Arabidopsis thaliana: one gene and its partners. The protein of the gene in region 4 interacts with the protein of the main gene of each other region in a pairwise test. Each region holds a gene or a part of one and is shown on either strand. Other genes may lie near its edges. The genes, in order: GOA, GATA11, GATA10 and AL2.

Evidence for each region.
Region 1: the proteins of AL2 (region 4) and GOA interact in a two-hybrid assay, tested with the Arabidopsis thaliana proteins (one large-scale study listed by BioGRID).
Region 2: the proteins of AL2 (region 4) and GATA11 interact in a two-hybrid assay, tested with the Arabidopsis thaliana proteins (one large-scale study listed by BioGRID).
Region 3: the proteins of AL2 (region 4) and GATA10 interact in a two-hybrid assay, tested with the Arabidopsis thaliana proteins (one large-scale study listed by BioGRID).

Annotation. Positions count from the first base shown.
Region 1 is NC_003070.9:11,115,276-11,122,630, reverse strand, and holds GOA (GORDITA), read right to left. Parts: upstream 4,691-7,355; 5' UTR 4,601-4,690; coding exon 4,413-4,600; intron 3,850-4,412; coding exon 3,777-3,849; intron 3,667-3,776; coding exon 3,493-3,666; intron 3,409-3,492; coding exon 3,346-3,408; intron 3,108-3,345; coding exon 2,958-3,107; 3' UTR 2,846-2,957; downstream 1-2,845. Other genes in the region: AT1G31150 (K-box region protein (DUF1985)), read right to left, coding at 219-374, 554-730, 846-2,534; AT1G31130 (polyadenylate-binding protein 1-B-binding protein), read left to right, coding at 6,703-7,355. UniProt on the Arabidopsis thaliana protein: Probable transcription factor involved in the regulation of fruit growth. Contributes to integument development. Controls organ size via cell expansion. Involved in the regulation of longitudinal growth of the fruit evenly throughout the radial axis.
Region 2 is NC_003070.9:2,485,348-2,493,103, forward strand, and holds GATA11 (GATA transcription factor 11), read right to left. Parts: upstream 2,739-7,756; 5' UTR 2,511-2,738; intron 2,504-2,510; exon of another isoform or gene 2,471-2,503; intron 2,160-2,470; exon of another isoform or gene 2,069-2,159; 5' UTR 2,056-2,068; coding exon 1,789-2,055; intron 1,500-1,788; coding exon 855-1,499; 3' UTR 501-854; downstream 1-500. Other genes in the region: AT1G08005 (serine/threonine-protein phosphatase 6 regulatory subunit), read left to right, coding at 1-164; TPST (tyrosylprotein sulfotransferase), read right to left, coding at 4,228-4,398, 4,477-4,611, 4,700-4,819, 4,892-4,942, 5,030-5,079, 5,666-5,810, 5,903-6,007, 6,087-6,227 and 4 more.
Region 3 is NC_003070.9:2,479,280-2,487,428, forward strand, and holds GATA10 (GATA transcription factor 10), read right to left. Parts: upstream 6,448-8,149; 5' UTR 6,233-6,447; coding exon of another isoform or gene 6,065-6,232; 5' UTR 5,608-6,064; exon of another isoform or gene 5,289-5,607; 5' UTR 5,286-5,288; coding exon 5,025-5,285; intron 4,847-5,024; coding exon 4,181-4,846; 3' UTR 3,961-4,180; downstream 1-3,960. Other genes in the region: AT1G07990 (SIT4 phosphatase-associated family protein), read left to right, coding at 121-215, 311-519, 899-996, 1,127-1,230, 1,318-1,480, 1,641-1,763, 1,936-2,018, 2,301-2,433 and 3 more; AT1G08005 (serine/threonine-protein phosphatase 6 regulatory subunit), read left to right, coding at 6,065-6,232; GATA11 (GATA transcription factor 11), read right to left, coding at 6,923-7,567, 7,857-8,123. UniProt on the Arabidopsis thaliana protein: Transcriptional activator that specifically binds 5'-GATA-3' or 5'-GAT-3' motifs within gene promoters. May be involved in the regulation of some light-responsive genes.
Region 4 is NC_003074.8:3,507,015-3,515,284, forward strand, and holds AL2 (alfin-like 2), read right to left. Parts: upstream 3,645-8,270; 5' UTR 3,405-3,644; coding exon 3,305-3,404; exon of another isoform or gene 3,204-3,304; coding exon 3,171-3,203; coding exon of another isoform or gene 3,088-3,170; coding exon 2,865-3,087; intron 1,837-2,864; coding exon 1,713-1,836; intron 1,634-1,712; coding exon 1,373-1,633; 3' UTR 982-1,372; downstream 1-981. Other genes in the region: AT3G11210 (SGNH hydrolase-type esterase superfamily protein), read right to left, coding at 4,087-4,300, 4,445-4,594, 4,686-4,762, 4,866-5,006, 5,458-5,535, 5,775-5,885; ELO1 (Paxneb protein-like protein), read right to left, coding at 6,816-6,977, 7,262-7,353, 7,434-7,593, 7,760-7,838, 8,099-8,246.

The DNA of each region.
Region 1 (7,355 bases), on a different chromosome or scaffold from region 4:
ATTAATGAGAGTTAGGAGAACACAACAGAACACAGGTTTGGTTAATTTCTGCTAAAGAAAACCTTTTAATATAAACCAGAAAGCTATCATAGCATGGTCAACATGTTCATTAGAAAGTCAGCAAAGAAAATAACCGGTAATAAATTAACCGTCTGGTAAGCTGAACCAAACCGGGTCGATCTGCTTAAGTTGTTATTAGATAGGGAGAAGTTGTTGTCCTAGTCTTGGGGCTGGTTGTGGCGGCGGGAGGAGCTGAAGAACGCCGGTGGGTTCTCCTTCTTCACTTGCCGGTGCATGATGTCATCATCTTCGTGCCTTTGACACACCATGAGATTCTCCTTAAGCTTGTCTGTTTGTTGTTGCTGCTGCTCCTGCTGCATGAACTCAAAACTACATAATTAATAAACAAGAGACATGAACCACTAAAACTGTGAAATTTGGGATATGTGTGTGCTTATAAAAAACTATTTTATACCAAAGTACATGCTGTATATGAATATCTAATATATATGTCGCTTAAATAATTATATCCTAGAGTGTGTATATTATATACCTTATGAGCTCGAGCAATATGGAGAGAAGATTCGAGTTGATGCTCAAAATGAAGAAGCTCGTCGTAGGTTAAATTATTCAGACCATGTCCTCCATACAATTGAAGCTTCAGTTCAAGGTTCTCTATCTCTCTCATCATTGATTCTTTCATCTTTGTACAATTTGAAGAACAGTGATCCTACAAGAAATTTGATATTGTTATAACCATAGTCCATAAGCAATAACAGGAGGAAAAACAAAATGTAATCAGATAAAATATGGGAATGTGATGTAAGAATGTAAAGAACACTTACAAAGTCACTTTCTTCTTGCATCACATCACCTTCCTGAGTGATTTTTAGAGCACCTCCATAATCATCACATTCATCAAATGTACCCGAGCTTGGCGCATTTCCGTCCTCTTTCCATGTACTCTGAACATCCTCTTCACCTTCAATGTCACCGGCTGACTCGCTTCCAGATGATAAGGAGTGAACCTCTACCTGTTTTCTTTTTCGTTTTCGCGTTTCTGTGTTGCCGGTTTTCTTAGGAGGTGATGCATCAGTCTTTCCCTTACTGTTGGTGTTAAGCCTGTTTGATTGACGCAGATTAGATGCTCCTCCTGCTGGTGATTTGGGACCAACAACAATTTCTTTAACATCCTCCCTAATCTTGTTTCTAAGGTCTTGATTCTGTTTCAGTATCCACTCCTTCATGTCATTCAAGTAAGCAAGCGTGACATACCCCGGGTCGTTACTTTCTCCACCAACATGAACTTTAGCCTTTATTTTTTCCTGAGAAGTATGTTTGTGGATACTAGGAGGCTTGACAACTTCCTTCTCCTTCTTAGAAGACCTAGTAAGAGGCTTTTTGGGCCTTGCTTGACTAACATCTGTGACATCTTCAAGGCTGTCACCATCAATATCTGGAATATTGACCTCTTGATTTGCTGCTTTCAAGTGTGGCCATTCAAATGGTTTGAAACAATGTCCCTCGTTGATCAATCTCAAAATGTAATCCACCTTGGGATCAGAAACCTCTGTTTCCCAAACCAACTCAGATTCATTAATCATTCCCTTAGGTTCCAATGTATGTGCAACCACAAGCTTGTCATCAACTTCAGCATCAAGAATATAACTCTTACGAAGCAGAAACGCTATTGACAACCCCTCAGATGACCTCTCAGTGAAGTCCCGAAGATCGTTTGGATCTTTTATCCTCTCCAATATCACCGGAATGGATTCAAAAACTTGTAACTGAAGAGCTAGAGGAAAACCGTAACACGCACTCGTCTTCTGTTTCAAACGCTTCTTAAGTTTCCCTAACGGATTAGGTGCATCTTTAGGTGGCCCGAAACGACGAATAGTTGCGAGAAAAGCTTTTCTCCCCCATGGATACTCCAAAAAGAAGTCTATATCATTCAACATCTCCACAAAATCTAGAGTTACAAAGCTTTGGTCATTACATACAACAACACCATCCACAATTACAATGAGAGCTAAACAAAGCTTTTTCCAAGAGGAAAGTTTCTTCTTTTGTAACATCTCCAACACATCTCCAATAGTAACCATTCTTTTCTCTCCGAAAAGCCTATTCCACACAGACAAATACTTAGAATCCTGATGCTTCTTTACCTCATCTTCTGTTGGTAATTTACCACATCTAAGACCAGTCACTATATGAAACTCTCTTATAGAGAAACGTATTGGGTGTCCACCAAACACAAACCATAACTCGTGTTTCTTTTTAGTTACGACTTGTCGGGATAATAAACCATGTATCAGCTTACCTGAATGTGAGCATCGAGCGACAGGGAATTCGAACAGCTTACCAAATTGTGAACTTTTGATTCGTTCCCATTCTTCAGAGCCTTTGAGAAGGTTAGCAATTGTACCGAGATATTCAGGTCTTGAATATATATTAAGACGGGCTTTATCGGGATAGCAATCGACGGCGAAGAGACGTTCCGGTAGATTAGGGTTTGGATCTTTGATTTGGTTCATTGTTGCATGAATCGGAACTTGAAAATGGGGAGAAAAGAGATAATGAGAAATGTAAATCTTTAGGAGATCTTCAAAAAGATTTCGCCGCCGATCTCGAGGGAAGAAGACGTTGAGTTTGCATTCCCGGTCATCAGAATTTTATACTGATTTGGTTTCTCCGACCACTAAGGTGGACGACAACGGTGGTGTTAACTGGGTGGTGTTGTGTTGGAAGATTCAGTGGCAATTAAAGTGTAATCATTAGTTTATGTGAAGGGCAAAAAGGTCTAGATAGCATCAAGTCGTAAATACGTCTAACCGAAGTTAATTAATAGTCTGGTATCAACATAACCGAACCAAACCGGGTCAATACTTTTTACTATCAGTTGTTTTTTATAGATAGAGAGAAGTTATGGGCCTGTATTTGGGCCTGGTTGTGGTAGCTTAAGGAGGTGAAGAACGTCGGTGGGTTGTTCCCCACCGTAAAAAAGGAACTCCTCCTTCATTCGCCGGCGCAGGATCTTTTTGTCTTTGACACGTCATCATCTGTCTCTCTGCTTGCCACATCAGCTGCTCCCAAGAGCTTCCTTGACCCTAATTAAGTAGAAATGAAAAATGAGTTAGCTATTTTATACATTTAACTTATTTTACATGTAAAAGTCACATATACAGACGAAACATAAATGTTGAGTTTATTCATCAATAAGTATTTCCTATTAGAAAAAAATAATACAAACAGTTGAAAAAATGGTTATATGTAAATTAAGCTTTGAAAATTACATAAAATTAACATGTATTTAATGGAAAAAATATACCAAAGCCAAGAACTCACCTTTTCTTTTCCCTTAAGCTTTTGATCTGTTTGTTGCTGCTGCTGCTGATGCATGAACTCAGACTACATTATTAGTAAACAAGAGACAAGAACCTTTAATAAATGTATAGACTATATAAAGTGTGTATATTAACAGTATTATTTTACCTTGCGAGCTCGAGCATGTTGTAGAGAAGATTCGAGATGGAGCTCAAAAGAAAGGAGCTCGTCGTAGGTCAAGAGATTCAAGCCATGTCCGTCGTACAATTGAAGATTCAGCTTAAGATTCTCTATCTCTCTCATCATTGATTCCTTCGTCTTCACGCAATCTGAACACTGATCCTAAAAAAAAAAAATTTCAACAAATTTTTATTATATTCATATATAACATCCATAAATTTAAAACATGTGAAGATAAATATTAATTTGTGAATTATAACAAAAATAATTACCGAGTGGAAACTGTGTTCTGCAGTGGTTTGACCTTCTTTTTCCTTTTGGTATCTCATGATGAGATTCTCCATGCTGATGTTACAAAAATTAAATAAACTTAGGAACTAGAAAACAGAAGAAATTTTTTATATCAAGATGAGTTATTTCTGAATGAACTTTAATATGAATTTTCTTTTGGATCCATAATACAAAAGATCATAACTTTTCCTACATAGATCATAACTTTCCATAGAATTAAACCTGGTACATAATAAAATATCCCAAGAAAGCATATAAAGGATACAATACCAAATTATATGAAAAAAAAAAAGATGACCAAAAGCATTTCAAACTTGCGTACGAGTGAACAGAAAAAACTAAATGAAGCAACACTTTGATTAATCATCTCATTTCCTAGGCAAGATTGTCAGCATTTTATTTCTCTTAAGTAAATCAACGAAAGTTTCACAAAAAAAAAGAAGTAAACCAACGAAAAAGAAAAGATGAAACCAAGTGATGATGGTATTGATTAATTACAACTAGAAAAAAAAACTTCAATAACTCTTTTTTTCTGTCCATATTAAAGAGCATTCATTTTCTTTTCTTTTTGTTTTACCAAAACAAGAACACACATATGCATGATTTTATATATAAACCTGGTAGAGTTGGAGCAGAAATCGTAGAGCCTGTTGGAGTGAGAGAAGATGATGAGACCAAGGTGGACATCGCAGAGAACAGAGAGTTCATATGCCTTCTTGATTAGACTCTTCTTTCTCTTTGCGAATGTCACTTGTCTCTTTATTTTCTCCTCTATCTTTTTTATCACTCTCTTACCTTTCCTCATCTTCAATCGATCTATCTTTCTAAAACCCTAATTTCATGAGAATGTTAAACGAGAGAGTGAGATAGAGAAAGAAATGTGGTTGCTTTTTTTTTTTTTTTTTAGCAAATGAAACCTTGAGATCAACAGTTTCTATTTAGATAGGGACTGCTACTTTTGTAAGTATGGTTTGGATGGTTCATTAAATAATAATAGGTATTCTTACTAAATTTATTAAATAATAATAGGTATTTCTTTAGTTTGTGTTAGGATATGCTTATATTTAGGGAGAATTAGTTGTTATGACTTGTGAATTCGATTTAGGGTTTGAATGGTTATGGCGGTTGGGACGGACAAAACCGTCAACGAATCAGACTATTTTTATTTACAATTCATCAATGACCAAAAAAAATAGAAGAAAACCGCAGCGGATCATCTACGGACCGTTTTTACATACAAATAAACTTGGTCCGCAGCGGTTTATTGTTCGCCTCAAAAATGAGATGGACTAAATCGCAGACAAATTAAACCGCTTTGTCCGCTACCTCCATTCATAGTCTTACTGTTATAAATTACGTGTTGGGGTATTTATTTATTTTTCAATATTTTGATGATACACGGTCTATTATTTTTCTTGTAATAAGGCTTTAAGAGGCAAGTGTTTAGTTTAAGTATTGGTTTATTACATTCCATTAGTCATTCGATTAAAGTAGCTAGTGTAGAAAGAACCTAGTGCCAGAAGAAAAAAGATTAAAACACATTCGATTAAAAACACATTTGTTACATATCTTTATAAAAGTTAGAAAACCAAAACAAAAGTTGAAACTTGAGAGTATATAATCATGGACCGGCCGGTCTTGTCCATTTCTTATATTTCTCTATTCGAAATTGAAAGTATAATTAAAGAAATCGTGTGTGTAGGATAGTGCTTATACACCAACATTTGATTGCTAGTTCTATTTCCTTACGTAAACTTATAAGATCTCCAAATTAAACACATACAAAAAGTTACAAGTTCAATATTCATTGCAAAGATAATTTTCACATCTATTAATTATGTAAATTAGTAGTATTTAAGTTGACATGGACAGTTAACTGTTGGGACCATCGGTCCATGTGATTTCCCTGCACCTCAGATTCAGTGGAAGTAAGCATTAATCTTTGATTTTGTTTCTATCATAAATTAACTTCATCAGAAAATTTATTAATCCTATTTCAAACAAGGTCGTATCAATAAAACTTTTTTTTTTCTTCTTCGTATTAATAAACTTTTAACATCATTAATTTTCTGTTTGCTCTTTTTAAAGTTTTGATCCTGATTTCCTCATTATTACGTGAAAACAAATCAAAACATACATAATCACACATACAACCGAAATATCAAACCATTAAACTTTCATTTTTCAGATTACAATATTCAAAAAAAAAAAAAAAACAGATTACAACATTTCTGATATGTCGTTCAAATTAAATCATATTTATTCTTTGAACTTATTTATTTAATTTCAAAATGTAAATAAATAACATTAAAAAAATGTAGTACATATATATGTATTACAAATATGAAAATCTGAATACTCTTCTAGAGTATTCTTCACGGTGAATATTAGGTATTAGGTGCATAATTAAACTCTATCAAAATTAGATTTACCCTATCTTACCATTTCTTTGTAAGTATACAAGATTCATAAACTCTATAGAAAGTCTAGTTCCATGATTGCGTCTCAGCTCATGCAAAGAGAGTTGTGCTCATAAAACTTGACCAAATCTCCTTTTCCTTTTTGTCCATCTCTTTACCACTTACATATTTTCCCATAAAATAACGATTCCATCATATTAATTAAAGCAAAAAATAAACAATTAGTTGCCCCCCCCCCCCAAAAAAAAATGGTCACAATAACAATACTAGTCAAAACGTGTTATATGAGTTTCCCAGAAGTTTCCAAGGAAAAAAAAAGTCTTTACCCGTAAACATTTTTTCTCCATCTTCTTGATATCAACAAAACACACCTCAACAAAAAAAAAAAAACTTCATCTCTCTCAGATTTCGAAATTGACCCGTCGGTGATTCTTAATCTCTCCTCTCTGTTCTTCTCCGATCAAACCTCATTCCAAAGAAACAAACCATGGATCTCCAACCAGAAGAGCTTCAATTCTTGACAATACCTCAACTACTTCAAGAATCAATCTCAATCAAGAAACGATCTCCAAGAACCTTCTACCTCATAACCCTCTCCTTCATCTTCCCTCTCTCCTTCGCTATCCTCGCTCACTCACTCTTCACTCAACCAATCTTAGCCAAACTCGACAAATCCGACCCACCAAACTCAGATCGTTCACGTCATGATTGGACTGTTCTTCTAATCTTCCAGTTCAGTTACTTGATCTTCCTCTTTGCCTTCTCTCTTCTCTCAACCGCTGCTGTTGTCTTCACCGTCGCTTCTCTTTACACCGGAAAGCCTGTTTCTTTCTCGTCAACTCTCTCTGCGATTCCCAAAGTCTTTAAACGACTCTTTATAACTTTCCTTTGGGTTGCTCTGTTGATGTTTGCTTATAACGCAGTCTTCTTTGTCTTCCTCGTGATGCTTCTCGTAGCTCTTGATTTGAATAGTTTAGGTTTAGCTATTGTAGCCGGGGTTATAATCTCTGTTCTATACTTTGGTGTTCATGTTTATTTCACTGCTTTATGGCATTTAGGTAGTGTAATCTCTGTTCTTGAACCGGTTTACGGAATCGCCGCTATGAGAAAAGCTTATGAGTTGCTTAAAGGGAAGACTAA
Region 2 (7,756 bases), on a different chromosome or scaffold from region 4:
CTGACGTCAAAACCGAATCTTTGATTCCAAACGGTTCAGAAAGATCCTTCTTTGATAAGGACGTGGAATTTGTGGGAGTGGAAGCACAAGTGACAGAGAAAGGCATGGAGCAAGCGATGAAGATGAACAAGGAGATGGCTGAGGACCTAAAGACTGAGGAATGAAAGAGTTCAACGATAACAATTACTGGAAAGTGGATCATGAAGTTGGAGTTTAGAGTCAGCATCTTGTACAGTGTGATTTTGTATGAGCGTAATGAAACAAAACTTGGTTTTAGTTGAAATTTCTTGTAGGTGAGTCTCTCGTCTCTGTGAAAAAAGCTTTTGTTTTCTAATCTTTCTCTGTTATCATTAAGTTTCTGTTGTTGTCAGCTAGAGGAAGTTGTTACTTAGCTTACCACCAAGGTGTCCGTCTTTAACCTACATAGAAACTCTTTTGCACTTCAGTTTCCTTCTGTTGAACATTAATCATATACGTACATAAGCAAGCAGCCTCCATGACTGAATTTGATGGGCGTTTATTTTTCAACTAATGCAAAATAGTAAAACAGATGAAAAAAAGAAGAAGATTATGGGATTGAAGAATAAAAAGAATAGATTTGAAATAGCGAAAAAAAGAGAGCAAACTTTGGCTTCACCTGTTTTCCTCTGATACACAAATGTCAGCCAAGAGATAAAGATAAAAACACATAATGAAACAACAAAATATTTCATATCCCTAACTTGAACTAAACCACTAAACTCTCTTCATCAGATTTGAAAACAGTCACTAAACCCTACTTTTATACCATCTTCTTCCTCCACTGACTTCCCATTTCTGCGGATCAGAGACCAAACTTTAAAAAAAAAACTGCTTTACCCTCTGGATATCACTGCCCGAATCATGCTGCTATCAAACTGTTCGTCGTCCTTCCTTCTCATCTCAATGATCTTCCTGTGTGAGTTTGAATGCACAGCTGGGATGAAGGTGGGGCTTGAGGCTGGTCGGTATTCTGGAACTAGGCGACCAGATCTGAACCTCACTCCGCAAGCATTGCAGAGGGTCTTCGGTCCACTGGGTCCTTCCCTCCACTGTGGGGTCTTGGTTGTCTCGCAATGAGTGCATTTGCGGACTATCCCATCCGAGTTGCTTGCCTCCAGAGTGGAAGAGACCGTGCGGGTGGTCAGGTGGATCTTGCGTTTCTTCTTGGCATGTTGCTCAGAAGAAAAGTAACACTCGGATTCAGGTTTGCCCGGGGTTGACTTCTCGGGCTTTCGGGGTTCAGAGGGGAAAAGGTAGCTAAGTCTCAGTGTTGTGGGGCGTTTGCGCTTGCTTCTCATGCCTTTCACAGGGAAAGCCAATCTCTGAGATCCATTGTTGTGGGTCGAGAGAGAACCATAACTGTTCTCGAGAACTGACACTGGACTTAAAGACTGAAATAGTTTCGAAACTTTGATTTCAGGAGGAGCTGAAGATTGGTGGAGAGTGCTGGACAAGGCTTCAGAAGAATAGGACTGTTTCTGCACCAACGAAACCAAACAAATCAGATGGATTGCAAAATCAGGAACACAATCAATGCACCAGTAAAGTAAGTGACACAAGATTATACTCGGATTAGGAATACCCTCTACATGAATGCTGCTAACTATGGTTATAAACACAGCGGAAAGTGAAAGATTGACATCACTCAAATTATATGAGTAACTAAATAAGCAAGAAAATTTCAGGTAGAAAAGCTTTTTTTACTCAAATTGGGTAAAAATCAAAACAAGTAAAATGCAAAAGTGATAAAAAAAACAAAGAACTCACCAAAGCAGGAATGTTCCTTTGAATATCCACACGAGGGGCCTTGGCCATGCCAGAGCCGCAAGAGGTGAGGTCAGAAGGCAAAGTGGGGAACATATCCATGGGAGGAGGCTCAAGGTCTTGAAACCTGTCAACCCAATCTCCTTCACCATTGGTGGTATCAATGTCATCAAGAGGGACGTCAAGGTGATTGATGAGATCATCAAAGAAATCACCAGAGAGAAGACCTTTGAAGTCATCCTCAGCTTCAGCTTCAGGTAACCAATTCATGCTATCTATCTAACTGTACCCAAGAAAAGATAAAACACATTCAAAAATCAGCGTAAAATTCACCAAAAGCTGAATTCAAAAACAGCTTCATGTCCAGTTAAATAAAAAAAAAAAAACTTTGGGGGTTTCACTCAAAACTCTGACACAATCAGACAGAGACATATGCTAAAACAATTACAAAACAGAAAATTTACCCAATACAATAACAATGACGACATCATTTTAAGGTAACGAAGATTGAAACAATTCCTTCAAACATCACTGAGAATTTAATTAAAAAAATCACAGAGATAAGTGTCGGTTCACACACCAACAAAGCAAGCAACCAAATTTATTTCCTACATTTTTCGAAAACAACGCAAAACGTAACAGAGGAAAATGCAAGACAAGACACAATAAAAGAGAAAGCTTTTACCCTAACGAGAGAAAGAGAGGGAGAGAGAGACGCAACGAACCTTGTAATATAATTCGACTATACAGAGAAGAGGAGAGAGAGAGAGAGAGTCGTCGTACGATGACGAACTGGAGATGGTCTCAAATTGGGGATTTAGGGATTGCAGGTTCGACTTTGGGAGGGAGAGAGAGAGAAAGAGAAAAGGTAGATGGGAGTTTTCAATGTCTCGTCAGTTTCTTTGAGAGAGAGATTCATTCATTTAAAATAGATAATAATGTAATACTATTACTTACTTACTTACTTACTTGTATATGAAAATTATTATTATGGAAACTGCTTTTCTTAACTTTAAAGAAAAATCTTAATCAGTTTCTTTGAGAAATAAAAATCTCTCTATCAACGCGTTTTACCAAAAAGAAAAAAAAAACTCAATTTTGGTTCTTTTACATATGTCAATAAATATATATATACACTAACTGAAGTAGTAATAGTATTTGTTAAGTTAATCCAAGTCAATTGAAAACGTTGCACTAAAACTTGTGGGTACAACTGTAACATTAAACCTCTTCTTGCAATTAATAAAGATATTGTATCATTAAAGCTGATATATATAAGGTAAGTAAAATATCAGTCAAATATTTTATCTGAATGGGTTTTAAGGAATATATGTCGGTGTAATGAAAGGATAAAAGAAAGAATTTACCCATTTTAACATGGTAATAGTATGTCGACATGGAAATTAAAAGATGGTAATAACACTTAATGATGGTCAAAAGAATTAAATAGAGAAATGATTGCGTGGAATAGATCTAAAAAGGAAAATAGGATAAGCACATGGCAAAATAACCTTGAGGGAAGGATGGTTGATAGATCTCGATCTCTAGCAATAATAATAGATAGTATCATGAATTGATGTATAATTTAATTTACGTAGCAAACAAATAAGTTGGGTTTAACATAATATACTAAAAACCTTTAGTATAATAGAGAGAGTCAAAGTGAAATGGAGAGATCACCGACGAAGGATTAAGAGACGAGAACCGAAATAATAATAATAATAAAGATGATTATGGCGTTTCCTCATGGGAAAGTGGGTCCCTTGCCTAACTCTTTGCTTCCATCTCCCACATGATATGTTTCATCCCTTTCACTTACTATCTTCCTCCCATCAATCAATTATTATTATTAGTATTTTTTATATAAAAAAAAATTAATATACACGATCTTCATATTTCTTTTCATTTTTTCTTCTTATATAGTTTATATGATTTTTTCTTCAAAATTTTTGACATATTATTGTTTACACTGCGTCGTTGATAAGAAAACAAATATCACGTGGGGGTATATTTACTGCTTTTGTACAATTTGTTTTATAGAGATTTGTATGAACTGTACTTTAAATTGCACACAGTCTGTTGCGTGAAAAATGGTACAGTCAAATTCAAACCAGTTAGTAGTGTACTTTCTCAAAAAAAAAAAAAAAAAAAAATTGTGAAATCTTATTACTTTTATCTTTATTGATTAAGCTCACTTAAACAAAAAAAAAAAAAGAAGCACTAATTTTGTGACTTTACCTGTTTTGTTTAGCCTTTTAAAATAAAGTAGATAGAGAGTTTTTTTTTACTTGTGATTTTCCCTTTTTCACCTGTAAGGTAAGGCAACACCCAAAACTTTTTCTTTTTCCACGAAAAGTAGAAAAAGAAAGAGAATAATATTACAAATTGGACCCCAAAAGCTTCTTCAAATTGCTGATTTGGTCCAAAATATAGTGACAATGATCAAATCTTAACTTTGGAGGTTCTTCTCCTTTTAGCGTTTACAAATAGAAAGAAGAGGACGATCAATAAAAGCATCAATGCCACTGGTACGAACTTCCATAGCTTCTCTTCACCCATTTCTCCCAATACGCTCTTTAACTCACTCGGCAGATCAACAATGCTTCTCTTAGACTGCACACGAATCATGGAGTTTAGTCTTATATCAGACAGAAACTAAAAGGCGAAATGTGAAGACAAGAAGTTTCTTACACTTGAGATCAACTTATTCGACACTAATTCATGTTCTTTGGCAAAGATTACTTTTGCATATTTGTAGAGCTCCACATCGAGGTTGTTAAGCGATTTGATCTGCTGAATGACCTCTTTAGGAACTCTTGTACGCGTCTGTTAGATGCATTGTCAAAAGATTTCATTATTCCAGCCTTCTCTCATTAACTTTACTAAGTTTAGATCATGTACGAAAACACTTTACCCCTCTTGTAAAATTTGCTGGAGTTATTCTCTTCAGAGAGTTGACCCGTCTGGTTCCTTGGGACTTTCGTAAATGAGTGATGCAGCCTTCATAGACTTCCATAAGGGTTTTTACCGTCATCTGAAGTGTATATATAAAAGTCACACAAGGTCTCAAGCGTTGATAATAAATTGGAAAAGGGATTCTACTTACATTCCCACTCTTAGCTTCTGCCTTATTCAATGTAACTTCAGATGTACCATTCTGTAATGTCACAGCCATTTTCAGCAAGACAATTACAAAAATGACAGTTGAACAAACAAATTATTACCTTCTGCAGCAGGACTTTACCTGAATATTACTCTTATCTGACCCGGTTTCTGAAATTGTGACACTTGCTTCTGAAGCATCAAGGAAATAAAGTTGACAATTTGGTGAGTGCAAGTACAACCATTTGTTATCCTGACTTTAAATACAACAAAAGCAATAGAAAGCCTAGGCTGTATGCACATGAACTGTCATATCATCATTCTACTTACTCTAAGAGACTATGATTAACCAACAAAGAAACTTTAATAAACCCAGGGACCCAGAGTAACAAGACACAAGTCTAAAACAAAAGAGGGCAAGAGAACCTTTAAAGATGATGTGACAACAAGAAACATAGATCAGAAAAATCTTCATGATGAAAGACAATCAAACCTTATACGATAATCCCCAAATAACAGAGAACAATAAGTAGCTTCCCTAGGTAATTAAAAATCAAACTCCTAAAAAGTGAATGAAAAATATCAGTCAAACATTTTAATGAATAATATGACGGGTTTTGACTTTCAAAAGCCAAAAACTAAAGTAAATACCATCTCCAAAGCGGTACTCTGAAAAAACTGTACACTGTGACTAAAAAAATGATCACCATGTCCTTCAACTAAGTTGCTAGATTCTCCTTAGATAGCCCAGCGATGGTATTAAGAAACTTACACCAACCTGATTTAAGAGCTTTGATTTTCGCAGTTGCATTGGACGGAACCACTTGAGACAGCACTTGAGAACCCACTACATTGGCAAAAAGTGATGCAGATTCCCTGTGCTCCTCTGTCAGTCCAACATACAACATGCTGTCTAGCCTCCTCTGCAAAATTTAAAAAAGCTTACAGAATCTGCTGCTTTTAAAAGCACAATACCAAGACGCAGTGAACTATGATGAAGAAGAAGTGTTACTACCTTGGCAACTTGGAGAACAGACTCACCAAGGCTTTTGAATTTCTGCACACAATGCCGAACCTCGTGTGCTTCTGATAAATGGGAGTTATTTGTCAATCCTGCAATCTGTGAAGTGAAATGAAAATGCTCTGGAGATCTCTAATCAATAACTTTGAAAACTTAAACAAATAGCATGAAAAAGTACCTGAAAAGTCGCTCCATTGTGGATGATGTCATGAGCAGTAGGCGCATCAAGATATTTGTGCAAAGGCATAAGCATCTCCTCCATGTCATACGGGTTATCGTCCTCAATGATCACTACCTCCTTCAATTTTCGTGCATCTCGCTAAGAAAAGCCAAGGATGAGTAAAAAAAGCTTCAGCCCAAGTTTTATGTGTTCTTATCATGTTCTAGCTTAAAAGCCAAAAAAGACGAATGGGATAGGTCGACATACCCGAGCAAACAAGTCTTCTCTCATCCATGGAACTAGGTATTTCCATGGCCATATGTCTAGTGTGCTTATTACATTACTCTTGCGTATGCGGCTAGACATCCTTGACGCAGAAGTTAAATTGGGATGCACCAAAAACCTAGCTGCTACCTCTACGGAAAATTCATAAGTGCTTAACACACGCGCAATAGGATCCCGAACTATTGTCATCACCGAAGTTCTCTCCCTCGGAAGCTTTGCCATCAAACTATAATCATCATGTGTGGCTAACAACTTGCACTTTTCCTTCCTATAAATTTACGAGTCAACACGATCTTAACTGTCCGAAGGTAGTAACACCACAGGCAAAATACTTTTTTCACATTGTTTTTCTTTAGGTAAAGGAGGCTAGGGAAAATTGATTTTCATATGAAACAATATTTAACTTTATATATGTCTAGCTAAGCTATCTAAAGTCAACTTAACAACCAATAGAATGTACAAACAGCATTCTGTAAGCCATCTTATTGTTTCCACAAGAAAGAGTCTTTGGCATCAAATAAAGACGTACAATTAGCGAGAGCACTGATGAAATTAAGATACCTTGGATTGAAGTGGAGCTTGTCGTAAGATCGAGGACATTCCTCAGAGCTATCATACAACTTCCTCAAAAAACTACAAGAGCACAAACACAGCCTTAACCACACAACAATCATAAAAGAATCTCTCAAAAACTTTTTGGTAAAGGAAATCAAATCACCAATGAAAATATGTTCTGCCTCCAGTTCGCGGAACGTGGAGAAAGAAGAGCAAATCCTTAAGCGAGCGTTTGTCTTTATTAACATGTTCTTCACGAGATGAAGAAGAATCAGCCCATTTTTTCACAAGAGTTTCGCAATGGCCAAAATCAAGTTCCGCAAAAGAGCCAATAACTGAGATATAATTTGCCAATTATTCCAAGAACATCAGAGACAAGTCCAGCTTTTTTATCAAATGAACAATTTTGTAAAACCATTCTGCATACATACCTGAGCTAAGAAGTAATAACCCAAGAGACAGCTTCCAAACAGAGTTCATTTGCATTGTGCCTCGATTCCAAACCCTACTGATTACCAAAACGATTATAAGTGAAAGAAGGATCAATCTTTATTCGAAAGAAACAAAACCCAGGAAGGGAAAAGAGTAGGTGATCAATCGGTGAGGATGAACATTAACGGTTGCAAGTTGTATAAAAACAAAACCGAAAGATTTTGGGGGAAGGAGACAGAGGAAAAACAGGGCAAAAGGGACCCAGAAAATCGAATAAAGAAAGGAACAAAGGAACAAGAGAGAGAAGCAGAGGCCTACGTGTATGGGGAATCGAGATCTCGTGCTCATAAATTCCCTCGATCGCTGTTTTGGGGGCAAAACTCGCTATCTACTAGGTCCTACGAAAACAAGGAAAA
Region 3 (8,149 bases), on a different chromosome or scaffold from region 4:
AGGCTCTTGGTTTTCTCTTTGATACTTGTAGGTGGTGTAAATCTAGGATATCTGATGATATTACTAATTTCTTCTATCATCTTCATTCTGATATGTTTCTTGCATTACAACTTGAATCAGAGTCCTCCGGAGGTTCAGGCAAATGCAGCAGAAACATTATGTGCAATTTCTCGGAATGCACCGTCAGCTTTAGCTACGCAGCTCTCTAGCCCTGGGTTTGTAATCTTTCTTCCATGATGATTCCTAATGCTTTGATAGATGATACAAAAGTGTTTCACATGGCAGCACAACTTTTTCCCTGTTTTTGCAGCTACGTTGCAAAGATATTTGGTCATGCTCTTGAAGACTCGCATTCAAAATCCGGTCTAGTTCATTCACTTTCAGTATGCACCTCTCTTCTGGATCCGAGGAGATCTGCTGTTTCATCTTCTATGTTCAATTCTTACAGAGGTCAACATATGTTCGAGTCTCCTGTCCCAGTTTCCCCAGAAACTATTGGTGCCATGCTGCCCAAACTCAGTAAGTTGGATCCTATGATGCACCATCGTCACATGACCATCAAGATTATTAATTTTCTGGCTTTTTTATTTGTTGCATGCACATAATCTTATTGTGCACTTGGACAATAGTCAATCCTTTTCTTATGTGATATTACTTTCCATTTGCGAGGATACCTAGAGTATTTAGCATCTATCTGGACGTTCTGTTTGATCTTCCCTGCTCTCTATTTGGTCTCTTCTATTTTGGTTTATATTGATAAATGGAAACTGGTTTTACATAATTCTGGAATGCTTACGTAGCACATCTTGGATATGTATGATACTGTCTCATACAAGTTTTTCAAATCAGGTTTTATGCATTCAATGACCTTAAGTAATATTTTTTTTTTTTTCTGCAGATGACTTGCTTATGCTTCTCACTGTAGCATCTGATAGCACAGTATTGCCTACAACATATGGTGAACTGAGGCCTCCTCTCGGAAAGCATCGTCTAAAGGTCAGGTCCAAACATGGAGCATTTTATGGAAGACATTGTCGTTTTTAGGACACCAACAGTGCTCTTAATATATTGTATGTAAAGTCTCTATACTTAATTAGACTCACTTATCTTATTTTCTTTGTTTCAGATTGTGGAGTTCATTGCAGTTTTGTTGAAAACTAGAAGTGAAGCTGCACAAAAGGAATTAGTCAGTTCAGGAACAATCAAAAGGACCCTTGATCTGTTTTTCGAGTAGGTTTTGCTAAACTTAAAATTTTGTGATTACCGTGTGCTATTTCTACGAGATCTTAAAAAATCAAATACTCTCGACATATGAAGGTACCCGTACAATAATGCTCTGCATCATCAAGTGGAGAGTATAATACTTTCTTGTTTGGAAAACAAGAGCGATTTGATGGTTAACCATATTCTTCGAGACTGCGATCTGATTGGCAAATTCCTCTTGTCGGACAGGGACTCAAACCTCTTAGGTGATAGCCAGGTATTACCATTTGCTATGTTCACAAAGGTTTAACTGATCATCAGCATATGAAAGAGTCATCTTAATACAGCTCCAAGTTAGCTCCATTGACTCATTGCTCCAGCGTTCATTAGCTAAACAAATATTCTCTGGCATTTTCTTTTTCTTTTGTGCGAGGTAGCCCACTGTAGCTGCCTCCGGGAAAAAAAAACCTCGTGTCGGGTATGTCGGGCATATCACAAGAATATCAAATAAAATTGGTCAGTTGAGTAACAGCAATGGCCAGATAAAGGCATACCTTCAGGTTGGTATAAAAATTATACGTGTCGTGTTGTTTTTCTTCTGCCGCTTTTTTGTCACTTCACACGCATAAAGAATGTAAAACCATTAGTTGAGTCTTGTGATGAATGGTCCTAGCACTCTGTTGGAATCTACCATGTTTGCTGATTGTGCTTTGTTCATTCCCAAATCTTTAGGAAAACAGCGAATGGAATGAGTGGCAAGGTAGTGTTCTGCAGGACCGCAACACGGTTGAAAATGTCAACAGATGGGGATGTGGGTATGTTAACCTCTACTCACAAATCATCTAGTAACCATTTAATTGGTCAGTCTGCTACATAATGCTGATTATGGATGTAAAAATTCATGTGTGATCCTTGTTCCTCTTGGACAAAACCCTCAAAGATAATTCTGCATTGATGACTGATGGTATCATAGTCAAATAATATTTCTTCTCATGACGAGACCACTCAGTAAATGCACCATGATCTGGTCCCGGGTTTTGGATTTTATCTTCACTCTTTTTGGTTATAAAAATTCCTAAACTAATTGTTACGTGTAGGCGCCCAACTACCCTACAAGATAGGACAAGAGATAGCGATGAGGAAGACAGGGATTACGATGTTGCAGCTCTGGCCAATAACTTAAGCCAAGCATTTAGATACAAAATATATGGAAACGATGACAATGAAGAGGTATCTTCTCACACTAGTGCTTTTTCTTCAATTTATGAATGATTTCCTGGGTACTGAATTTATCGTCTTTGTATTTCTCTCAGGACCACAATGCCCTTGATAGAGACGATGATGTAAGTCTTGCAAAAATTCTTCTCTCCGCTTTTTTGAAAAATCAAGGAAACTATCAACATCTTTTATCACACTATGATACGTATGGGGGATGTACGCTAATAAGAGTTTGCTATTGAAAATTGGAATGTGTTTATATACTATACAGGATGTTTACTTCGACGATGAATCTGCTGAAGTAGTAATTTCATCCTTAAGACTTGGGGATGACCAAGGAAGGTGAGTTTATCTTTTTATTATCTGTTAATACTGGTGTCCTCATGTCCTTGCTTTAAACTACAGTTACTGTATCTTGGTGATTGAATTATGTCATCTCTCTTGACCAAAAAACGAATGATGACGTCTCTCAAAATAATGACTTGAATCTTTTTTGGTATTTTGCCGCAGCTTGTTTACAAATTCGAATTGGTTCACATTCCAAGACGATAGATTCGGCAGCACACCCTCTGACACAGCGGGTTCGAACACGATAGACGTGGAATTGAATAAAACCTATAATGCCAACACTAGCAGTAGTGACGATGATGAAGTTGTGGTTGGAGAAGAAGACGATGATCTAACTGGAAACCCAAAAGACAACGCGTTGAACACAACTGAAACCAACTTTCAAATGGAGAGTCCACTGGATTTCTTCGACTTCAACACCTCACAGAAAGCTGAAGAAGCTTTTGCTGAACAGCCACCCGAATGGGTCGGGTGGGGAGAACCATCTGATATGCAAGCGAGTGGCACCGGTCTGAACCCATTTATCGATGATGATGATGATGATGACAGCAAGCACATAATGAACCTCGACATACCAATGGCTGAGGTCAAATCTGAATCCATGATTCCAAACGGGTCAGAAAGATCGTTATTTGAGAAGGACGTGGAATTTGTGGGAGTGGAACCAGAAGGGGCAGAGAAAGCGATGGAGCAAGCGATGAAAGAAGGGATAGTAGGAGAAGCTGGAGTGATGAAGAAGAACAAGGAGATGGCTGAGGACTCAAAGCCGGAGGAAAGTTCAGGAGGAGTGAAAGAGTTCAACGATAACAACTACTGGAAAGTGGATCAAGAAGTTGGAGTGTTGGAATGAAAAAGTCGTTACCTTGTACAGTGTCATTTTGTGTGAGAGTATGATACAAAACTTGTTATTAGTTAAAATTTGGTGCAAGGGTCTCTCTCTCTTTGGCATGTATCTTTTTCTCTTTTATCATTAGGCTTCTGTTGTTGTCAGCTAGAGGAAGTTGTCTGTGCTTATTTACTTTGCCTACCACGAAGTTGTCCGTTTTAAAGTATATTTGGACTCTTTTGAGTTTAGTTTCGCTTGACAAACATCAAATCATATAGTAAACCTAAAGGGTGACAAAGTCAATAAATGAATTTGAAGCTATTCACTTCTTTTGAACTAATATAAAATATTAAGACAGACGAAAAATAGAAGATTATGGGATTGAAGCAAAGAAGCAAAAAAGCAAACATTGGCTTTCACCTCTCTTCCTCTGATACACAAACGTCAGTGCAACCATATTGCTCGCAAAATGAGAGAGAGATAAGATAAATCACATAATGAAACAACAAATATGTTATATCCCTAACTTGACTAAACCCCTAAACTCTCTTCATCAGATTTGAAAACAGTCACTAACCCCTACTTTTATACCATTTTCTTCCTCCCCTGCTTTACCTTCTGGATATCACTGCGAATCATGCTGGTATCAAACTCGTCGTCCTTCTTTCTCATCTCAATGATCTTCCTGTGTGAGTTTGAATGCACAGATGGGATGAAGGTCGGGCTTGAGGCTGGCCGGTATTCTGGAACTAGGCGACCAGATTTGAACCGGACTCCGCAAGCGTTGCAGAGGGTCTTGGGTCCACTGGGTCCTTGCCTCCACTGTGGGGTCGTGATTGTCTCACAATGAGTGCATATCCGGACTATCCCATCCGACTTACTTGACTCCAAAGTGGAAGACTCGGTGTGGGTGATCAGATGAATCTTGCGCTTCTTCTTGGCATGTTGCTCAGAAGAATAGTAACCCTCGGTTACTGATTCACCCGGAGTTGACTTTCTGGGTTCAAAGGGGAAAAGGTAGCTAAGTCTCACTGTTGTGGGGCGTCTGCGCTTGCTTCTCATGCCTTTCACAGGGAAAGCCAATCTCTGAGATCCGGAGTTTTGGGTGGAGAGAGAACCATAACTGTTCTCGAGAACTGACACTGGAGTTAGAGACTGAAATAGATATGAAACTTTGATATCAGGAGGAGCTGAAGATTGGTGGGGAGTGCTATTAATGCCGGACAAGGCTTCAGAAGAACAGGACTGCTTCTGCACCCACAGAACCAAAGAAAGCAGATGGATTAAAATTCAGGAATCAGGAACACAATCAATGCACCTCTACATGAATGATGCTAATAAGCAAGACAAATTCAGTTTAAATAGATGATATACTCTATCTAATAGGGTAAAACTCTATCAAGTAAGTGATAAGAAAACAAGAACTGACCAAAGCAGGAATCATGTTGTTGGGAATCCGCACACGAGCGGCGCCCTTGGGACAAGAGGTGAGGTCAGAAGGCAAAGCAGGGAACATATCCAAGGGAGGAGGCTCAAGGTCTTGAAACCTGGCGACCCAATCTCCCTCACCATTGGTGGAATCGATGTCTTCAAGTGGGCAATCAAGGTGATTGGTGAGACCATCAAAGAAATCACCAGAGAGAATACCTTTCAAGTGCTCCTCAGCTTCAGCTTCAGGTAACCAATTCATCTACTGTAAACCAAGAAAAGGTAAAGCGATTAGAAAATGAGCTTAAAACTCAACACATATGCAGCAGGAGTTCAAGAACAGCTCCCATGTCCACCAAAAAATTACAAGTTAAAAAATTCAATTACGAGGTTTCACTAATGACACAGACTTAAAGCAATTTCGCAACAGATAACAATGACGACATTTGAAGGTAACGAAGATTGAAACAATTTCTTTTAACAGTGAGACAAGTGTCGGTCGCAAGTATTCATTCCCACACCACCAAAGCAACAAAATATAAAACCCAGTAAAGAAAGAAAGAAAGAGAGAGGAGAGCAAGAACCTTGTAATATATAATTAGACTACACAGAGAAAAGGACGACGAATTTGGAGATGGTCTAAATTGGGGGTTTAGGGATTGCAGGTTCGTTCGAATTTGGGAATGGGAGAGAGAAGAGGAGGGAGAAAAAGGTAGATGGAGTTTTCAATGTCTCGTCATTTTTGTTTTTGCTTTTAATGGTCAACTGGTTTGGGATTTATATACACAGAAATGAACACATGAGTTGCGATTAGTCATTCCAAATTATTAATCAGAGACCCTTTGGGTTGGGGTATATAAACACAACCCACCAAAAAGATTAGACCTTGGGTACCAACAACCCACTAAAGCAGAGAACATAATGAGGCTAAGGTTTGTTATCCATCTTCACAAGTCATGAGGCTAAGGTCTCCAACCAAAAGATCAATGTTCTTTATCGATGATGATGACACCAAGAACATAATGAGCCTCGACATTACCAATGCCTGACGTCAAAACCGAATCTTTGATTCCAAACGGTTCAGAAAGATCCTTCTTTGATAAGGACGTGGAATTTGTGGGAGTGGAAGCACAAGTGACAGAGAAAGGCATGGAGCAAGCGATGAAGATGAACAAGGAGATGGCTGAGGACCTAAAGACTGAGGAATGAAAGAGTTCAACGATAACAATTACTGGAAAGTGGATCATGAAGTTGGAGTTTAGAGTCAGCATCTTGTACAGTGTGATTTTGTATGAGCGTAATGAAACAAAACTTGGTTTTAGTTGAAATTTCTTGTAGGTGAGTCTCTCGTCTCTGTGAAAAAAGCTTTTGTTTTCTAATCTTTCTCTGTTATCATTAAGTTTCTGTTGTTGTCAGCTAGAGGAAGTTGTTACTTAGCTTACCACCAAGGTGTCCGTCTTTAACCTACATAGAAACTCTTTTGCACTTCAGTTTCCTTCTGTTGAACATTAATCATATACGTACATAAGCAAGCAGCCTCCATGACTGAATTTGATGGGCGTTTATTTTTCAACTAATGCAAAATAGTAAAACAGATGAAAAAAAGAAGAAGATTATGGGATTGAAGAATAAAAAGAATAGATTTGAAATAGCGAAAAAAAGAGAGCAAACTTTGGCTTCACCTGTTTTCCTCTGATACACAAATGTCAGCCAAGAGATAAAGATAAAAACACATAATGAAACAACAAAATATTTCATATCCCTAACTTGAACTAAACCACTAAACTCTCTTCATCAGATTTGAAAACAGTCACTAAACCCTACTTTTATACCATCTTCTTCCTCCACTGACTTCCCATTTCTGCGGATCAGAGACCAAACTTTAAAAAAAAAACTGCTTTACCCTCTGGATATCACTGCCCGAATCATGCTGCTATCAAACTGTTCGTCGTCCTTCCTTCTCATCTCAATGATCTTCCTGTGTGAGTTTGAATGCACAGCTGGGATGAAGGTGGGGCTTGAGGCTGGTCGGTATTCTGGAACTAGGCGACCAGATCTGAACCTCACTCCGCAAGCATTGCAGAGGGTCTTCGGTCCACTGGGTCCTTCCCTCCACTGTGGGGTCTTGGTTGTCTCGCAATGAGTGCATTTGCGGACTATCCCATCCGAGTTGCTTGCCTCCAGAGTGGAAGAGACCGTGCGGGTGGTCAGGTGGATCTTGCGTTTCTTCTTGGCATGTTGCTCAGAAGAAAAGTAACACTCGGATTCAGGTTTGCCCGGGGTTGACTTCTCGGGCTTTCGGGGTTCAGAGGGGAAAAGGTAGCTAAGTCTCAGTGTTGTGGGGCGTTTGCGCTTGCTTCTCATGCCTTTCACAGGGAAAGCCAATCTCTGAGATCCATTGTTGTGGGTCGAGAGAGAACCATAACTGTTCTCGAGAACTGACACTGGACTTAAAGACTGAAATAGTTTCGAAACTTTGATTTCAGGAGGAGCTGAAGATTGGTGGAGAGTGCTGGACAAGGCTTCAGAAGAATAGGACTGTTTCTGCACCAACGAAACCAAACAAATCAGATGGATTGCAAAATCAGGAACACAATCAATGCACCAGTAAAGTAAGTGACACAAGATTATACTCGGATTAGGAATACCCTCTACATGAATGCTGCTAACTATGGTTATAAACACAGCGGAAAGTGAAAGATTGACATCACTCAAATTATATGAGTAACTAAATAAGCAAGAAAATTTCAGGTAGAAAAGCTTTTTTTACTCAAATTGGGTAAAAATCAAAACAAGTAAAATGCAAAAGTGATAAAAAAAACAAAGAACTCACCAAAGCAGGAATGTTCCTTTGAATATCCACACGAGGGGCCTTGGCCATGCCAGAGCCGCAAGAGGTGAGGTCAGAAGGCAAAGTGGGGAACATATCCATGGGAGGAGGCTCAAGGTCTTGAAACCTGTCAACCCAATCTCCTTCACCATTGGTGGTATCAATGTCATCAAGAGGGACGTCAAGGTGATTGATGAGATCATCAAAGAAATCACCAGAGAGAAGACCTTTGAAGTCATCCTCAGCTTCAGCTTCAGGTAACCAATTCATGCTATCTATCTAACTGTACCCAAGAA
Region 4 (8,270 bases):
TCTATTGTATTTCTATTATGCAAAATCAATATCCGTGATTTATGTTGAAGCATGTCTATCAATAATTATGCCTCCTCTATCTCTATGATTAGTAACATTAATAATGGAGCTTATCGGTGCTAGTCTTTTCTGTATTGATTGAGCAACTAATCTATTAGACAATTTAATTTTCTTAAGAAAAATTAGTATTGACAAACAAAATGACGGACATGTGAACGCAATAAATATCTAGTATCTAAAGATGGTAGTATGGTACACATATTAGATTAAGTAATGTATATAAAAAGGATAATTCGTGTTGACCATGTATTACAGAATCTTGTTAGATCCGATTTAAGTTCTTTATCATATATAGTTGGGGACTTGGGGGAGCTTGTAAGTAACGTTTACGAAGAAGATTGGACGGATATCACTTTGAATACCCAAAACTAAGATTTTTGTATTGTGAATTTGTGATCTTCATGCTGGCTTTACTTGGGATCGCCCTTCTTGATATTACATACATGCATGATCACATTTATAAATTGATTTGTATTGATTTTGAATATTGATCATTGTTATTATTATTATCATCAACATGCATTAATTAGCACAAACCAAAACACTAGGCTACAAATCATTATCGTCGAATAAATATTCAGTCGATGAGTTTAAAATTTAGTTAAATTCAGTCGATTGTCAACTATTAACATTTCATGAATTTCTTATTGAGTATGATGCTAAATAAATAGTATTTTTTTTTTTAAAAAATAAAAATATTTGATTATTGTCGCAAATTTGATTGAAAAATTTAGATTTGGATTTAGAGATGATTTGTGACAATCTTGATGGTTAATTATAAAACTTACCAATTCTAAGGCTTGCGATCACATTTACTTGCCCTTTAGAACTTGGAAAACATGTTGGCTCTTTACAATTCCGGCCAAATGAGAAGACTATCACTTTGACATATCACATAATATTGGATAATAATATTCTTTAAAATTATGAAAAACAATATCTTAAGACAGATAAAAGACCTAACAGAAGATTAAAAACATATTTGTTCAAAATTCGGTTCGAAGCTTAAAGATTTGACTAAGTCTAACATATACAAACCCCATGACACAACACAATTGATGACACAACCCAGTTTTTTTTTTTTTAATATGAATAATAATAATATTATTCAAACAGTTTGCTACTCTCTCCCTCAACTTCTTGAAATCCCTTTCTTGAGATCTAAAGAGAGAGTTTTGTATGCTTTAAAATTAAGAAGGTTAAAGAAAAAAAGAGAAGAAAAGAAAAAAAGTTGATTAACATATTGATTAAAACATGAGAACCAGAGTCTCTCTGAGAGATCATCATCATCATCATCATCAATTGATCAGCATCACTGTCTTCCTTTCTTTGCACAGCAAGGCGGGCATTTATACTGCTTGATGCTCTCTGCTTTAGCCGGAGTTATCTTGACGCATTTTCCATGGTACCAACGTTCACAAACATCACAGCAAATCCAGAACTCCTCATTTGTGTAATGACCTCCACAGCTTCCACAGAGAGTGTCTCCATGCTCGTCTTCTTCTTCCTCCTCCTCATAGCTCTCTTCCATTAGTTTCGGTGTTGAGCTCTTTGTCTGCCCGTCTATTGATCTCTGCTAATTACGATTTTTGATTTCAAAGAGGGAAACCAGATAACAAAAAAGAAGAAAGGAGGCTCCTTATTTTGTGTACCTTAGTGCCATTTCTGGATTTGCTTCCTGAGTCCGAGCTTGGCTTGTTGTCTTTCATGGCTTTCCTACCAGTCACTACATCGAAGAGAGTTGGGAGATCGTTGATCAGACTGAATAACCGCTTCCTGCAAATCAAAAGAATAATATAACTCCATGAGTGGACAACACATTGAAAAAGGCAGCTAAGATAAGCTAAGAACTAGATTAGCAAGCGAAAGTGAGGAAAAACGAACCAGAATCTTCATATCAGTACAACACACAATTGTGATGTTTTATCTAGCATTATTTGTTTGCAGCTCTGTCGGGTTAAATTCTCTATCCTTGGAAATGCATCTTACGAAATGCTTTTTACTAGTCTAGTGTAAATAAGATAGAGGACTAAAATGGTAGAGGATCACTTTAGAGACTTGTTAATGGTATAGTGAAACTACTGGTTGAGAAAACAAAGTCCAGTTTCTTGCACCTTTAATTGAAACCTATCTAAATGCCAACAACTACTTCTCTCTTGAAGAACAATGAAACAGATAATAACCAAAATAACATTGTTTTCTAGAATATATGACAGACAGACAGTAAAATGATCTCATTAGTACTAATCAAATAGCAATTTTTTTTGTCAAAATTTAACTTTCACAAAACCTTTGTCAGTAAAGTTCTTTGGATTCCATAGTTACTAAGATGGGTGTTCAGATGTAACAATGAAATGGTGAAATTCAGCACATGCGACCACAGAATATCCGTTTTCAGATTTCATAGAATAGCAAATACCAGGCTTTTAAAATTAGGGAGGATAATCAAGTTTCAAGTTTAGCCATTACAATATCCAAAAGAGCTGAGAAAAAGTTTAGACAGATGAAGTCATGCAACAAACAATACTCCATAGATATGAATGACGAATAGCGAAAAAAACAAAACAAAACAAAACTCATTTCACGCAAATTCAAAGACAATCTCATTCCAAACGAACTCCATCATCATCACAAAGTTTCAATTTTTACTTCACATGAGAAGAGCCAGGATGGAAAACAACTATGGGGTTTCATGTAAGAACAACACAGAATCCATTGAAATCAAGTAAAAGTTGGAGACATGGCTTAAGAAAACACAAAACAATGAGAATGCAGAATCAAAATGTTGGGAAAAAGAGAAATACCTCTCATTGCGATTAAGACGGGCTCCAAAGTAGAAAGAAACAGAGAGCAACCAACAATCACTGTGAACAGCAACAAGAGAAAGCCAATCTTTCCTCTGCATACCATCTCTAGCGAAATTGATACCAAGAGCAGGCTCAGGTAGCTCCGGAGGCACTTCCTCTGCTGGTAGATTCACTTCCCATGACTCATTAGGGTGTCCGTACAAACACAAATTCTCCTTTTCTATAACCACAAACACCCAAAAATTGAAATCAAATCTCAATAAAACACATAAAAGGGTATCTAAAAGTCGAAATCTTTCATACCCGGATCGCATTGAGAGTAAAAATCATCAACATCTGGAAAAAATCACAAAAACGAACAAGTTAAAGGACGAATCCAAAGGCATTACGAAGAAATCTGGGAAATTTAGAGAAAGAGAGAGAGAGAGGATTTAGACCTTTAGTGAGAGCACGAAGAAGAGCGGCACGACGAGCGGAATAATCTTTGAAGATCTCTTCAACGGTGCGAGGGTTAGAGGAAACGGCTGCGGCGGCCATATCTCTACAGATTTTTATAAGATTTATAGATCAGTACTAGTTGACAAGGATCGATGTCTGTATCAATGGTTTTTGAGACCCGATGCGTTCGGGCATGAAGAGAGAGAGAACAATAGATATGGAAGGAGATGGAGAGAAGCAGACGGAACAAGAAGGAGAAGAAAAATAAGAGAGAGAGAGAAAATAAAAACTTTATTTTTATTTTTGGGAGTTTGGTTGCGTCAGCGAAAAGGTTTGGTAGTAGACGAAGATGCGTCGCTTTTTAGGTAAATGGCATTTTAGTTGGGCCCTTAAGTGTTAGGTTTTAGGCCCAAATAAGTCCAATCTCCTAAGCGACTTTTTTGTTATCGGCCCAAATTTAGTTACTTTGTGATTTTACCTTCAAAACACTAAACCCCTGTCTGGAGGAGTGTTATGTGATGAGTTTCAGACATTTGTTAATGTCTGTAAAATGTAAACAAGAAAAAAAGAAATTACTTGAACACAAACTTGGTGTGTTTCTGTGATTTAAGATTTAGATAAGTATAAACTTTAAAATGGTAACGTTTTTCGAGCGAAACTGAATCAGATTATAGCAGAGACACTTGTAATGTAAACAATCTAAAGCAAAGCTTTATCACATTAAGACAGTGAATTATGTGAAGATAGGGTCTTGTTGTTGTTGTTGTGTGTGTTGAAATGTTTAGTCCCATTGTTCTTCCCAGAAATAAGTCCATTCTGAAGAATTTACTGTCTGTTTGCCATCTGCTGATACAAGATCATAAGGAGAGTCATCTGCGAATTCTGTTGGCATTGATTTCCAGTGAAGTGATGGATGCCATTCCGCTTCTTTAACCACTCTTAGTATCTCTCCCGCTACTATTTTGCTTCCTTGTGCTGACAAATGAATCCCGTCTCTGTAACAAACCAGACTATACCGTTAAAACATTTCAATGAACATCGTCGATACTCCATTCCCGGTTATCGCATTTGGAAACTCTGAGAAAGTCATATATATCAAAGGTCTCTCTATATTTCTTCAGAACTCAAAAAATACTTACGTGAAGCAAACAGTTTTCCAGTCATCTGCTTTCTGAAAAGTAGAGAAGAGATCAACTACTTCTAGGCCGAGTTCTTGGCACAGCTCTACACAAGCATCTGAATAAGTCTTGCAGAGGTCGTTTGTGCGGATTACCTCGCTCAAGTATGGGCTTGTGAGAGAAAAAGAAGCACATCTATATTAATAAGGCCGGAGAGAATAAGGAGAAACAGAGAGATAGTGAAGAAATTCAGGGAAGTTACCTTTGGTTCTGGCGAACTTTAGCCTCATCCACTGGAGGAGAACTAAGAAATATGATTCGGGTGAAGTCTGAAAGGCTCTGAAACAGAAAATAGAGGAAGAAATTAGCACTTGAAATGGCTTTTAAACGTGACTGACAGGAGATAAATAATAAATCTAACAATTATAAAGGAAGTATAAACCTGAAGATGAAGAGCGATCTTCTTCATGTTATCAACATATTCAGTAAGTGGTACATGAGGTCCTAGTCCAGACGAGTGAGGCGCCATTGAGTCGTTTCCTCCAAAATAGACAATGACCAGAGAAGGTTGTACTGCAGCATCCTGCATCCGTAACAAGTTGCAATTTTTAGGCGACAAAGTGGAAGAAAACAGAAGCTTTGAATATGATGGTTTTCTACAAAGTTAAGCTCATTCTACCAAATTTTTTTTATAATGGGTAAGAGAAAACAGCTTGAGATATCAAGAAAACTCGGATGAAACAGATTATGCTTAAACAGAGACATCTCCCTTGAAACAGATGCAGAGTCTTGTATGCTAAATCAAAGACTATGCAACTAAAATAGCCACTTGTGTAATCCTTTTGGGGTACATTTTGAACTAGTAAAATAATGTTCACAAAGAATTCTTACTAGGTCAAATGATAAGCACACATCAACCTATACGGACTAATATAAAGACCTATAAAACGCTGAATCTTTATCATAATCTAGTATTGAAGAAACTAATAGTCTAAAGAGAGAAGAAGCAAAAAAAAAGGGAGTTGAAAGAGTACCTTGGGGAACACTTGGTCGACAACTTCCAAAGCACGAGAAGAGTTCCATCCATAATATCCTCGCAGAATGATGTCGGCCTATACACATAACATCCAAATGGAGAAATAACATTATGGTTCGCATAATACACGCTTACAATCGTAAAACAAAAGACGAATTTCAATGAACAAATGTATAGTTAGGGAAAATAATAAATAATACAGAGTAATTAGAATAAGCGATCTACTTGTAGAATCAACGCTCTAGTAATCTAACCAAGGATGAATATCGAATCCAGAAGCCACAGAGAGAGAGAGATTGATGAATCTGACGATACCTTACGAGCGTAGACCTCGGAAAGAATGGCGCCCCAACCACCATGGCCAAAGCTCATCTGAACAATGGAAGATCCAAACAAAACGATCTGAGGCCGCGCGGGTCCAACCATTGTCTCCTTCCTAACCTCTCTGTTCCTCTGTTTCAGAGCTGAAGACAGGCCGTTCTTTCTCCCACCGCAAAAGCTAATCGTCCGGTGAAGATGAACAAACCTGAGCGATCCTCTCTCTCACTCTTTGTCGTAAGGTGCGAGATTAAATGCATGAACGTCTCGTTTTTTCTTCTTGTTTTTTGATTATTATAACAGACAAATAAAAGAAGAAAAAAACAATAAAAAAACAAACAAAACAAAACCTTTTGTTATATCATCACGTGCATTACTGTTATTTCCTTTTTTAAGGATTTGTTTCTCATACTAGTTTTCTCTTTTTGTTTCTCAAAGTATTTTTTACTTGAAATGCTCTCTACCAAAAAGTAAAATGATGAGAAATCTTTTCTTTCTTTTTCAATATATATGAAAATCTTAGTTTAAGAATGAATATCTCTTGTATAAGCTTTGGAAAGAAACAAAGTCAAGAAGAATAGGGTACTAAATAAAGAGATTGGGTAGAGAGAGAGATTTATGAGCAATAATTCAAATGATATGGTCGTTGGTTGGTAAGTAAAGGAACACTGAATTAAAGGAGCACCAAATATAGATCAACCATATTTTTGAACTCTTCATTCAATGTCTCACCTTCTTTCTTTATATGTTATATATATGGATGGTTCAACAAATAACCACGTGAACATGTTGAAGTGATTACATTGAACGTTTAGTAACTAGCATCTATCATTGGTCATAGTTTCATAAGAGTATATATAATACAGAAATGAAATAAATTTCATTATAAAAACAAAACATATTGCTGTCAAAACTGTTTTTAAGACCAAAGACTATAATAATAATGTAACTGCTCAGGTTAGTGAGTGAACTTAGAGAACTCAATGGAGAGGGAAAAAAAAAAACTAAGAAGAAGAAAAGAAAGACTAACTCAGCAACTCAAAAATCTAGTGCTCCGGATTTGGATGAGCAGCTACCAGATGTGCCATACGATGTTCCACTGGACCCGTCTACAGGGGCTTGATTCAGACACTCTAGAGCCAAGAATCTTCTCTTCTTCAAGCTCATTGAGAAGGTTTTTGCCTCAAGAATTACAGGCACCTGTTCCATTAAACAATTCAGATCAAACCAGTGGTTTAGGACCATAGTGAATCCATTTTTTCAACGGTTTCTAAGCAAGTTCATGTCATTCTCATCAAAAGAGAGAAAAATGGATTAGATGGGGATTTCTGGATAAGTTGTTCAGTAGACATTTTGAATTTCATCAGACTTTTATCCATTGAATATGTTTTTTTGACTTGGCAAAATACAAAGGGGTTCTTGCTTACAGGTTTCAGGGTAATAATATCCCTATATAAATTGAGAATTACACAATTTGTAAATACCTGTGTGTTGATACGAGCAACCTTGTGTATGTTGAGGAATCCATTTATATCCTTGTAGCCAGTGAGGAGTTTCTCCAATTCCTTGTCACCATCTGGAAAAAAAGGCAAGGATACTTGTCAAGAAACAACTATGATAATCTATTTATGAATAAGAAAATCAGGGAAAGCAAACCTGGGATTGCTTTGATAGAGAGCAAGGTATCTGCCATATGCTGCAGTCTTTTAGAGGAAGATGGGGAGAGCAGGGAAGGCGGGAAAGTAACAATGGCTACCGCATTTGAAACCATAAGCATACTTTTCAGCAATCTTATGAATGAGAGCATGTCTGATTCCTGTGTTGATAGAAACAAAATGTCAAAAAATCAACAATATAATACATAACGACGTGATACTGGTACAAGCTTCAGCTATCATTAACTATAGAGTCAAGAGAATTTTCGTTAGAAAGCATTGTTGACTTGATATAGGCTAAAAGTTCCAGAAAACTCTCCTAATTACCTTTTCAGAATACTCACACAGGGGAGAGCAAAAAGACTGGATTGCGATGCGGCCAATAGATGCAATGTTACTGCTGTTTCTGTGGGAAACAATACACAGGTTCTTAAGAAAAAAAGGACAATCTACTTAACAAAGCCAGTAAATAAGAGAAGAATTTGAACAATAACTGACTCAGTAACAAACTAAAACAATATAAACAAACTGAGCTTGGAAGTATAAGAGAGATGTAAAAAGAATTGAGCTTGAGCAGAATTTGCTGCATAGGTATGACCAACAAAATTTATTGATTCGAAACTAGAGCGAGTAATTGAGATCAAATAAGAAAGGATGCCACACAACCTTGGAAATTTTGATAAAAACGTAGCACAGTGGTCCTGAGCAATGGAAAGATCTGAAGAGTCTAACAGACTGACACAATCTATGGGCCGTCCGCTCAGAAATTGCCTCTCCAAGGGCTTTCTCATATCAAAGTCATTGGAGTAATCATCTGATCCAGAATAGGTAAAGAGGA